Neurospora crassa OR74A: one gene and its partners. The protein of the gene in region 1 interacts with the protein of each later gene in a pairwise test. Links are inferred from orthologs where the notes say so. Each region holds a gene or a part of one and is shown on either strand. Other genes may lie near its edges. The genes, in order: NCU04461, NCU02693 and NCU02624.

What was found.
Region 2: the proteins of NCU04461 (region 1) and NCU02693 interact in binary tests that used the Saccharomyces cerevisiae proteins (3 or more experiments, as listed by UniProt). The link is inferred for Neurospora crassa OR74A from reciprocal best matches to the Saccharomyces cerevisiae genes ERG28 and ERG26.
Region 3: the proteins of NCU04461 (region 1) and NCU02624 interact in a two-hybrid assay, tested with the Saccharomyces cerevisiae proteins (2 studies listed by BioGRID, with this or other methods). The link is inferred for Neurospora crassa OR74A from reciprocal best matches to the Saccharomyces cerevisiae genes ERG28 and ERG11.

The regions. Positions count from the first base shown.
Region 1 is NC_026504.1:3,279,071-3,282,624, forward strand, and holds NCU04461 (transmembrane domain-containing protein), read left to right. Parts: upstream 1-1,532; 5' UTR 1,533-1,859; coding exon 1,860-1,925; intron 1,926-1,993; coding exon 1,994-2,455; 3' UTR 2,456-2,672; coding exon of another isoform or gene 2,673-2,896; 3' UTR 2,897-2,967; downstream 2,968-3,554. Other genes in the region: NCU04462 (3-ketoacyl-CoA reductase), read right to left, coding at 203-1,057, 1,129-1,272; NCU04460 (galactose-1-phosphate uridylyltransferase), read right to left, coding at 2,673-2,896, 2,968-3,554. UniProt on the Saccharomyces cerevisiae protein: Part of the third module of ergosterol biosynthesis pathway that includes the late steps of the pathway.
Region 2 is NC_026501.1:3,224,363-3,228,018, reverse strand, and holds NCU02693 (C-3 sterol dehydrogenase/C-4 decarboxylase), read left to right. Parts: upstream 1-1,289; 5' UTR 1,290-1,489; coding exon 1,490-1,972; intron 1,973-2,048; coding exon 2,049-2,684; 3' UTR 2,685-3,112; downstream 3,113-3,656. Other genes in the region: NCU02694 (hypothetical protein), read right to left, coding at 1-304; NCU02692 (hypothetical protein), read right to left, coding at 3,219-3,656. UniProt on the Saccharomyces cerevisiae protein: Sterol-4-alpha-carboxylate 3-dehydrogenase; part of the third module of ergosterol biosynthesis pathway that includes the late steps of the pathway.
Region 3 is NC_026501.1:2,956,606-2,960,912, reverse strand, and holds NCU02624 (cytochrome P450 51), read left to right. Parts: upstream 1-1,423; 5' UTR 1,424-1,691; coding exon 1,692-1,937; intron 1,938-2,009; coding exon 2,010-2,207; intron 2,208-2,269; coding exon 2,270-3,421; 3' UTR 3,422-4,042; downstream 4,043-4,307. UniProt on the Saccharomyces cerevisiae protein: Sterol 14alpha-demethylase that plays a critical role in the third module of ergosterol biosynthesis pathway, being ergosterol the major sterol component in fungal membranes that participates in a variety of functions.

The DNA of each region.
Region 1 (3,554 bases):
TACATTCCACTCACATTATGAACTCGTCTGCTAACAACGGGCCGAAGTTTCTCATTTTCTCTACAATAGATACAGGGTCCGAAGGGTGGATGTAACGCAGGCCAATGGGATGTGTCTTTTGGCTAGAGCCATCATGCCACAAGTCCATGCTCCTTCCCAGCTTCACGTGAGAAACATGGTAGCTAGAAGCTGCGATATGCGCTTACTGCTTCTTGGCTTCACGAGCGGCCTTGCGGAGAGCGCGGTTGCGGATGTCGATGTGCATGTTCTTGTTCAGCCTGAGGGTAAAGTAGCTGTAGGCACCGACAGTGTTCTCAACAACCCACTTGAACACAGCATGGCTCCACCAGGGGGTGTAGGTGTTAGGAAAGGGCTCGGAGCTGTTGAGGCCAACCTTGCCGAGAGCAGCGCGGACGAACTGCTTGGGGTTGGGGATGAGGAGGCTGGTGCGGCGGATCTTGCTCATGGCAGTGGTAACGAGGTAGCTGACAACAAGGTGGACATCGACGCCCTGGTCCTTGAGCTCGGCAGAGAGAGCGCTGCTCCAGTGCTGGAGGAACGCCTTGCTGCCGCTGTAGGTGGCAAGGTAGGGGGTGGGCATAACACCGGCGAAAGAGCCCATGGTAAGGATAAGACCCTTCTTGCGCTGGGCGAGGATGGGAGCGACAACCTTGGTGGTCTTGAGTGTGCCGAGGCAGTTGATGGTGACAATGTTCTGGAGCTCGTCGCGGTCGGTCTGGAGGAAAGGAACGGGGATGCTGTGGGACTGGCCAACGTTGTTGATCAAGATACCAATGTCGAGGCCCTTGATGAGCTCGGCGAGACGCTCGTAGTCGGAATCGTCGTCCTTGGAGAAGTCCATGGCGAAAGTCTTGGCCTTGAAACCATCCCATCTGAGCTCGAGCTCCCTAGCAAGGACGTCCAGCTTGGACTGAGTGCGAGAGACGAGAACGAGGTTGAAGCCCTTGGAGGCGAGCTGCTGGGCGAACTCCTTTCCGAGACCATCGGAGGCACCAGTGATAACAGCCCAGGTGCCCTTCTTGCCATACTTGCGGAGCTGTCAAGGTTGATGTTAGCCACATTCACCTGACAATCTTCAGTCCCAAGTAAGTTTGCGAAGAGACGTACGTTGGTGCCGCTCAGGATGAAAGCGTTAAGGAGCAGCTGGAGGAAAGCGCCGACGCGAGTAGCGACGTAAAGGGCGCCGATGCCAGCAAGGGCCCATTGGCCATATTGAGGGACAGTGCCCCAGATCTCGGCAACCTTATCCATTGCGTACGGACTGTCGGCGAAAGTCGTTGATGAAGGAACGCCTTTGGTTTGAATCGGGGAGTTGTGACACTTTCAAAGTTGGGTCCGGTCGCAAATAATTGTTGGGAACTTTTTGGAGGACCTGGGGTCGACTCGCCTACTATGTACACTTGCATGTGTCAGCCGCCAAGATTTTCGAGACGTCCCGCCCCGCGGCCCCGGCGAGAGGACCTGGGCAGCTGGGTTGTCCCCGCTTTTGCCGAACCATCACTCACTCGACGCCGCCATTGAACTCCGACGGAGCTGGCCATGGGCCAATGGATAGAGGAGAAGGGGGAGCCTGGCGGATTTTGTTTGTTGTCTCCAAAATGTCGTCCAATGCCCGTGGACCTGCGTCCATGATGCTACGATGACCCCTGTCTCTCGCGCTTGAGAGTGGCCCGAAGTGTGGTTTCCATCCGATCCTCGAGCCGCTGGAACAAATGGAGAGCTGCAACAGGAAGGGCAACTAACACCTCAACAACAAAAGGTCTTCTCAATACAAATATCCTGGACTTACGATAGCTTTCTTCCCTGACGACAAACCGCTTCATAACTGTTTGAACCAAATGGACGCTATCAAGGCTTTCCTGCCTTCGGGCGAGAAGGGTCTCCTTCCCTACTACCTCTTCTTTGTAAGTTGACGGTTGCTGGTCCCCCTGACTCTTCACATGGTTTCGCAATTAACACGCCCTTCGTCCAGGTCTCCATCGTAGCTATGGGAAACGCCCTCCAAAACTACACTACTCTCCACTACACGCGACGCCTTTACAACGGCCGTTTCGTCCCCAACCCTTCCCTGCCGCCCGCAAAGGGCAAATTCAGCCCGGAGGACAGCGTGGACGTGCTGAAGCCCGTCTCGCCCTCAGAGGCGGAGAAGAAGGAGGCGGCTGCCAAGGACCAAGTCACGCCGCTGGCGGCCCGCGTCTTCGGTACCTACACCTTTATGGCCGGCATCATCCGCTTCTATGCGAGCTACAACCTCGAGAACGAGTCGTTGTACAAGCTCGGTATCTGGACCCATGTCATCGCCGCCGTGCACTTTACGAGCGAGTTCTTCATCTACAAGACGCTGCGTTTCAGCGGACCTCAGATCTTCCCCTTCTTGGCGGCGTATGGCGGCACGTTGTGGATGGTGTTGCAGTATGGTTACTACGTCCAGTAAAAGACAGGTGCAGCTACCAGCTGGTCTTTGGGAATCAAAGCAGGAAGCAGTACATGGCCCCCAAAAAGGAATGGCGAGTGGACTCGGATCATGACCATAAGAAGCGCGATCGCGTATTAGGTGAAATAAGACTCCGACGATAGGCTTTGTGGAAGATGTACCACTTATTGATACCCTTTTCGGTCAAGAAGCGAAGCAAGCGCATCATACATTTCCACTACTGCAACGACTTGCGATAGAGCTCACCACCGCAGTCTCTGAGTCGCGCAGCCGCTTGCTCCGGAGTGATATCCCTCTGCGGCTCAGCCATTAACTCGTATCCGACCAAGAACTTGCGCACGGTAGCAGACCGAAGAAGTGGAGGGTAGAAATGCATATGGAACCAGCTCGTCTCAGCCTCTTCCTCTGTGCAATCCAACGGCGCCTGATGAATACCCGAGCCTTCTCATACCGTTAGCTCCTTTCTCCCTTTCTCTCTCCTTCGGGCAGTTGCAGAGGGTAGTAGAACTTACTATACGGAAAGTTTGTCTCGAACAAGTTATCATATCTTCTCGTAACCTCCTGCACCGCCTCGGCAAACTGCAGCCTCTCCTCGCTCGTAAGCTCCACCAGCGCGCGCACATGTCTCTTCGCAATGACGAGCACCTCAAACGGCCAGACAGCCCACCAAGGGCAGACGACCAAGAACCCGTCGTTCTGCCAAACCACACGCTCGCCCTTGGCCATCTCCACCTTGACGTAGTCCTCCAGCAGATGCCTCCCCTTGTGCTCACGGTGGTACTTGGTCATCTGCGCCAGCTCCTTGCCCGGCTCCTCGGGCAGCGTGCTCGTCGTCCAGATCTGGCAGTGCGGATGCGGGTTCGAGCAGCCCATGGCCGCGCCCTTGTTCTCAAAGATCTGCATGTACCGCAGCTGCTGCTTTTTCGCGGGCTCGACTTCGCCGTCCGGGTTAGGTGGAATCTCGCTGAGTGAACGCGCGGCGGCGTCCCTGAGCGGATGCGAGGCAGACAGGTGGCTGGCGTAGATGCGCGTCCAGGTCTCGATCACGGGTACGATCTCGGTCGCGCTCATGTCCGCCAAAGTGGTGTCGTGCTTGGCG
Region 2 (3,656 bases), on another chromosome or scaffold:
AATTGTTCGCGGCATCGCGCCACGATAACACCGGTGTTTCGACAAATCCTGCTACTTCAGACGACCGAAGGATCTGATCCGGTTGCGTGGAGGGTCCTAGGGAGCCATTTCCAACGGGCTGAGGCTGCACGGCGGCCTGATGAACTACGACATTTGGTGATATTGTCTTGCTGAACACGGATGTGCGCGTGGTGGGTTCAAAGTTGTTATATGCATTGGCGAGTGCTCTATAGTTGGCATCGTCTTTCGATCTGCTAGGAGCTGTGATATGGACGAGGATTTCGGTCGCGGATTTTTTGTTCATCACACTGCGTCAGGGCACCAGTTTAAGCTGTGGTTGTCGAGTGCCATGGAATGGGCTGGGCTGCGTTGCAATCGAGATATAGAAGTTGGAAGTGTGCTGGATCATGGGTTTATGGGTAAGGGTGAGACGCTGGATGGAAGGCTGTTGCCTGACAGACAGTAAAGTGTTCCAGATTCTTACGAGGTGGAAGTGAAGAGAAACGCCGTTGTGGGAGGACAACGAAAGGGAGCAAATGCGCATTGTTGACTGGCTGCACGACGGGATCTGGCAACAAAAAAAAAATGGAAAACCGCGTGCCCGTCGCATTCAGTTGGGTACCTCTATGTGCAGGCGGGATCGATAGTACTAGGTTCCACCTTTATGGCAAGGTCTCACGATGTTGGAACTTGGAAGATGGGAGAGCACGGGTCCCTGTGCGCCTTCATCCACTCAGGTCCACTGCGAGCCGCACCCCGTCGACCTTGATGGACAACAGGGGTCCTTCATTTTGCCCTTCTGTAGGTTCCGCCCAAAATCCAGCCTCTTAAAAAGGGGTCACGATGTTTTCCACAGGCGTGTCGCCGTGTCGTACCTCACTGGCTGTCAAGAGCTAGGTACAGTAATTTCCCCTGAAAGTGCATGTAATCCGGGCCAGGGGTTTATATGCATCTAGAGGCACATATGCACTAGCAGGCACATGCCAAGTCTTTTTGCTCCCTTAGTATGAAAATTTCAGAGGTTCAGAGAGTGCTAGCTTGCCTATAAAGTCCTAAAAGGCCCTGAAAAAGGTGTTCCAAATAGTGCATATTACACCGAAATGGCCGGCCGTTTCACATACAGGGGCATTCAAGCACTTATGCGATTTCCCATACCAACTAATTGCGGCCGCCAATTTCTACGCATCTAGAGGGCTTTATGCATTATCAGGTGCATGCACTTTGAGGGGAAATTACTGTAAGTGGCGTGCTTGGAGCCGAGACGCGGAGCCAGAGACACAGTGGCATGTCCCTGATAGGTTGCAATTTGTAGCTCAAAATGGCATCCTTGTCCCCCGGCTTCGAAGATATCCTACCCATGATCCCACGTCCCTTGCTCTAGAACTAGACAGTTTCCCAATTGACCCTCCTTCAGTCCATCTTTCCTGCCTTTCTCCCAACGCTCCAATCCATTGCTCTTCCCTTGTCGATACCCCGCATACATCCCACGATGGCCTCAGAAAAGAAGCCGGAGCTTGGCTCCGTCATGGTGATTGGCGGCTGTGGCTTCCTCGGTCACCACGTTGTCCGCGTGCTCCTCCGCGACTACATCTGCTCCGTTTCCGTCATCGACCTACGCTGCACGCGGAACCGGCGACCCGAGTCGGATGGCGTCCAATACTTCGAGGCCGACATCACAGACCCCGCCAGGCTCGAAACCATCTTCAACCAGGTCAAGCCCCAGGTCGTCATCCACACCGCGTCGCCTGCCGCCCAGTCCAACGACAGCGTCTCTCATGCGCTGTTCAAGAAGGTCAACGTCGACGGCACCGCCGCCATCATCAAGGCGTGTCAGCAGACGGGCGTTACCGCCCTCGTCTACACCAGTTCCGCCAGTGTGATGAGTGATAACAAGTCCGACCTCATCAATGCGGACGAACGTTGGCCCGTCATCCGTGGAGCCCAGCAGAGCGAGTACTATTCGGAGACAAAGGTACCCTCCTACTTCCCCTCTCTCCCATATCCCCCAAGAGTGATGCATCCCAAAACTAACCTCCCCCTCCCTCCAGGCCGCCGCCGAAGAACTGGTCCTCCAGGCCAACCGTTCCGCTGCCGCCCCTTCCCTGCTCACCTGCTCCATCCGTCCCTCAGGCATCATGGGCGAAGGCGACACCATGACGCTGTACCACCTAATCAAACTGTACCAGAACGGCAAGACCTCGGTTCAAGTCGGCGACAACGATAACCTCTTCGACTTCACCTACGTCGAGAACGTAGCGCACGGTCACTTGTTGGCCGCCGTCGCCCTCCTCCAAACCTCCAAGCTCAAGATCGCCCCACTAGACCATGAGCGCGTCGATGGCGAGGCCTTCATCATTACCAACGACTCGCCCGTGTACTTTTGGGATTTCTGCCGGGCTGTGTGGAACGCTGCGGGATCTCCCCATGGGACTGAGCACGTGTGGGTTTTGCCGCGCGATGTTGGTATTGTGCTGGGCTTTTTGTCGGAAGTCTTCTTTGGGATCATTCGCAAGCCGCCGACGTTTAATAGGCAGCGCATCATTTATAGCTGCATGACGAGGTACTACGATATTTCCAAGGCTAAGAAGCGGTTGGGATATAAGCCGCTGGTGCCATTGGATGAGGCGGTGAAGAGGTCGGTTAAGTGGACGCTGGAGCAGCAGAAGGGGGAGAAGTTGCAATAGGTATAGCAGGCCTTGAATGTGGAAGGGATAAAGGGTGTGGTGGTGGTGGTGGTGAAAGAAGCAAACATCGACGGAAGGCATGATAACTGTATATGAAACATTGGACAAGCGCTGATGAGGCGAAATAAGTCGGGCCTTGCGTGCTGGAACGCGCCGTACTATCTGTCCCGCTGTATAATAATATCTAATGACGACATTTGGATGACGGACGACGAGGCATGCCTCTCTCAGACATGTTGGCCGGATGAAGGGGTGAGCTGGATATTGATCCACGGACAGATGCTAAACATGTCACGCGAAGCTACGAAACTCCTTCAACAAAGCCCAGACTGAACAGTATGATGCCGGTGCGTGTACGTAGTTTCTAGATTAGGTCTGTTACCGGTCCATAAGTGACTAACAGAAGCATTCCGATCTTGATCGCTCGCTAAACTTAATTCTCTTGCTAATCCCATACACCATGATACCCTAACGCCATGCTATCCCCTTCGTAGGCCACTTCAATTCCTTCATATGTCTTAGGAAATGTCAAGTTCAGCGCTTGGCTCCTTTCCTGCCTGTCGTCCTCTCGATCTTATCTCTTCCAGGCGTGTACGGCGCTGCAATACCAACCAATCTCTGCGATTGTTCATTTCGTCCTAGTGTTGGAAATTGTCCTTGTCCTTGCCCTTGCCCTTGTCCCTGTCCCAATGTCTCCCCTGGTGACTGCTGCGCTTCTGTTCCAGCCGTGGTCGCCATCGTTGTCGTTGGTGGCGTAGAGGTCCGGTCTGTTGTTGCCGTGGTATCTCCCATGGCATAACCACTTCCATTACCAACGCTAACAACGCCCCCTCCTGGTGCTGCTCCTGCTGCCGCCGCCGCTGTCCCTCTGAATTCATATACTCCCCCGACACTAAGAACCGCAGGTACCCCCAGCGTAGGCGCCGTCAATTGCTCGCGGTGCAGCTTATCAAGCGACTCGCCTACGATGGC
Region 3 (4,307 bases), on another chromosome or scaffold:
AGCTTCCGAAGCATCAACATCAACAATCACAACCACAACCACAACCAACAACAACCACAACAACAAACTTGCCAGTCATAGCGCTTATTCTTTGCAGCTTTTCGCATTTTGGACGGCGTTCAACCAGGAGTTACACTTTCATTTTCGGGGTAACAAAAAAGGGGAAGGGGGGAGCATTGATCATTCCGGGATTCTTGGGATAGGGCACTCATGATACCACATAACACGCATTCACTCAAGCTTTTCTCTATTCCTTCGTATGGGTTTTCTTCTTTCGATGTCAGATAGAACATGTCCCGGCTTCCTGTCAGAATCAGCATTGATTTTTTTTTTTTTTTTTTTTTTTTTTTTTTTTTTTTTTTCTGTTTTCTTGCATGTCTGAACCAAGCAAGTCAATGCATTTGGTTGGTTTTGTGTAGAGTGACAAAGGGCTCGGTTGGAAACCTGCCTCATAGTATTGGAAGATACCAAGCCACCTGATTCAGACAACAAATAAATATATTTACTCTATACATACATATTCGAACCGGCAGCAACAGATTTTCGATCATGAGTCTATCAAACCATGGATTCGAATACGTTTGCGTAATCGTTTGATGACGCCATTGCACTACCTCACTATAACAATAGCGAACTCCACGTGTTTCTTTGGTTCCTTTTTTAATATATTTTCATAGGCTAGAAAGATAGTGGTGGTCAGCAAAGGCGAGGGACGACGCAAGATGACTTGCTTGGGCGGGATTGAGACGAGAGCGGGAGTAGCCGCTGTGGCAAAGCACAACCTCGAATGCCAAGAGATGGCTCCGTTGAACTCCAGCTTGACCCCTTTTTTAGTATTTGACCAAGTTTCTTTCAACAAAGCACGGAATGTTAGATACTTTTGCTTGCGAGTTGGGAATTGGTGAGATGTTTGAAAGGGGTGAAGTATGTAGATAGCGGCCATTCAAGTAGTATGCATATTATCATATCTGTTCATCGCTGCCCTGCATCTGCAGTCAGGCATTCATATGTATTCCTTCGTACTCGCCGCGTTCTGAAGACGTTAGGATTTCCATTCAAGCATGACATTACCCTGTCTGCATCCCATTTCCTTTGCAAGACCAAAACAGCATGGCTGAAGAGCTCCAATCGTCTCTTTCCATGGTGGAAACCGTCAGATGCGATTTCCCCCATGGCATGATCTTGGGCTGAGGTTGCCAGTGCGGCAAGGATAGGTTAGTTTGGATGATCTGGAGAGGGTACGTACCGTCCAACCAAAAATCCGAATACGAATGCGTTGCCCCTGCTCTTATGATTGGCTGGGAGACATCAGACTGCCCAACTCCTATTCGCCCGGAGGGAAAGCTGCTCCCGAAAGGTGAGGTGGTCCCTGAGCTTCACCAAGCTGGTGAAAGTGTGCTGCTGTCACCCCAGTTTTACACTACCACTGCACTGCCCTTGGTCCCTAGCTAGGTGGGTAGACCTCCCCTCCCCTATCAGCCTATCGCTAGGATAGGTCGTAGCCAGAGAGGGAAAGGCTACGATAACCGCCAACCATCGACCGACTTTATAAAATCAAGTCGCGTCGCCCATCTTCTCCCCTTTTACCCCCCCTCCTCAGGCTACATTCATTTTCTTGCTTGTTTGCTGCCGGCGTCCACGACTTTGGCTTCGTTCCCCTCCACGCCTTCTCCCCGCCTCCTTCTCCAACCATGGGCATCCTGCAAGTCGTTGCGGGACCGCTGTCCCAGCAGTTTTCCCAGCTGGGGACGGTGTCGCAAATTGGTGTCGCGATCGCCTCCTTTTTGTTTGTTGCCGTCGTCCTCAACGTCCTCCAGCAGTTCCTCTTCAAAAAGCCTAATGAGCCGCCTCTCGTCTTCCACTGGTTTCCTCTCATCGGCAGCACCATTACGTATGGTATGGACCCGCCGCGTTTCTTCAAGGAGAACAGGGAAAAGGTAAATCCTCCAACCGCCTCCTGTTGGGCTACGCGCGAACTTGGCTTGCTAACGATCTCGGCGCTCGAACAGTACGGCGATTGCTTCACCTTCATCCTCCTCGGAAAGAAGACTACTGTCTACGTCGGCCCCAAGGGCAATGACTTTATCTTGAACGGCAAAATTCGCGATGTCAACGCCGAAGAGATTTACACCGTCCTTACTACCCCTGTTTTCGGCAAGGACGTCGTCTACGATTGCCCCAACTCCAAGCTTATGGAGCAGAAGAAGGTTAGCAGAGGCAACAACATATGGAGGTGGTAAAGAGTGTGCTAACATACGGTTTTCACAAGTTCATGAAAATTGCGCTCACCACCGAAGCTTTCCGCCAATATGTCCCCATCATCTCCGATGAGGTTACCAGCTACCTCAAGAGAACCGCCGACTTCAAGGGAAAATCCGGCATCGTCGATATTCCCCCCAAGATGGCGCAGATCACCATCTTCACCGCCTCGCACGCTCTTCAGGGCAAGGAGATTCGCGACAAGTTCGACGAGACGCTTGCCGACCTATACCACGACCTCGACATGGGTTTCTCTCCCATCAACTTCATGCTTCACTGGGCCCCTCTTCCCTGGAACAACCGTCGCGACTACGCCCAGCGTACCGTTGCTAAGATCTACATGGACACCATCAAGGAGCGTCGCGCTCGCGGCGAGACTGGCGCCCAGGACATTATGTGGCACCTGATGAACTCGACCTACAAGGGCGACGTCCCCGTTCCCGACCACGAGATCGCCCACATGATGATCGCCCTCCTCATGGCCGGCCAGCATTCTTCGTCCTCCACCAGCTCGTGGATCATGCTCCGCCTCGCCTCCCGCCCCGACATCATGGAGGATCTCTACAACGAACAAGTCAAGAACCTCGGCGCCGACCTCCCCCCACTCACCTACGAGGACCTCGCCAAGCTGCCCCTGCACGCCGCCATTGTCAAGGAAACCCTCCGCCTCCACGCCCCTATCCATTCCATCATGCGCGCCGTCAAGACGCCCATGCCCGTCCCCGGTACCAAGTACGTTATTCCGACCGATCACGTCCTCCTCGCCGCCCCTGGTGTCTCCGCCACGGACGAGTCCTACTTCCCCCAGCCCGACCTTTGGGAGCCCCACCGCTGGGAGAAGGACTCGCCCCTCGCGCCCACAATTGTTCGCAACGTCCCTAGCGAGGAGGACGATGAGAAAATCGATTACGGCTACGGTCTCGTCAGCAAGGGCGCCAACTCCCCTTATCTGCCCTTCGGCGCCGGTCGTCACCGCTGCATTGGCGAGCAGTTCGCCAATGTGCAGCTGCAGACTATCCTTGCTATTATTGTTCGTAACTTCAAATTCAGGAACGTGGATGGTAGCGATAAGGTTATTGGTACCGACTACGCTTCGCTTTTCTCGAGGCCCCTTGAGCCGGCGAAGATTTACTGGGAGAGGAGGGAGGGTTGCCAGTTGTAAAGACACTGATGTGGTGGTGAGGAAGGGTGTGGATGCTTAGATGGGCGTTCTTTGGTTTTAGTTGTTATAATTATGGAACTGGGTCTACGGCATATAATGACGTGATTGATCAATCATGAAAAAGAGTGTTCTTGGAGACAGGATAGAATAGAGCTCGATGGACCTTATGGGAGGAGTGTCCCGAGGAAGACTCAGGGGAAAGAAAAGGAAGTTGCATTATAACTAATACCTAATACCAACGAACGAACACGGTGGCCTCACTGTCGAAGAACAGTACATCCATTCTTGATTGTTCTATGCACGTGTTGGTTGTTGTTGTTGGAGGTGTGGTTGTAGTAGCCAAAAGAAGATCTGCGAAAGTCTGAAAGGACAACATCACCAGTTCGCGTTGGTGAGTCAAATAATCCGAGTCGAGTCCGACAACCACCAAACGTGTCCTGCACCGAAATGAGTGAACAGTTGAAGGAAATGAAGGAGCAATATGCATTTCCTCTTCGGTGACTCGTTATGCTGTTCTCGATCATGACACAACTTTGCCTGACCGAATGGCTATGGGTACGTAGTTCATTCACTCGCCGCGGGTTGTCCATGGGGGCTATTAAGATCTAGGCATTTCCCAAAAAAAAAAAAAAAAAAAAAAAAAAGGGGGGGGGGGGGAGGGGGGAGGGGGGCTTGACGTAGTTATAAATCCTAAGCGAATCAACAGCCATAACTTCTAGGGAGTTGAAGGGGGTTTGCTACGAGAAGAGCTTATGTAGTGAGGAATTTGCTGGTTTACTCGGTCCCAGCCAACTGGTGGAAAATAGAAGGCCGGATCGAAGCGATATGGAAGTATAAGATAGAGGATGCTTGAACGCAGCCAAGACGGTTCCGAGGATTGCTGATG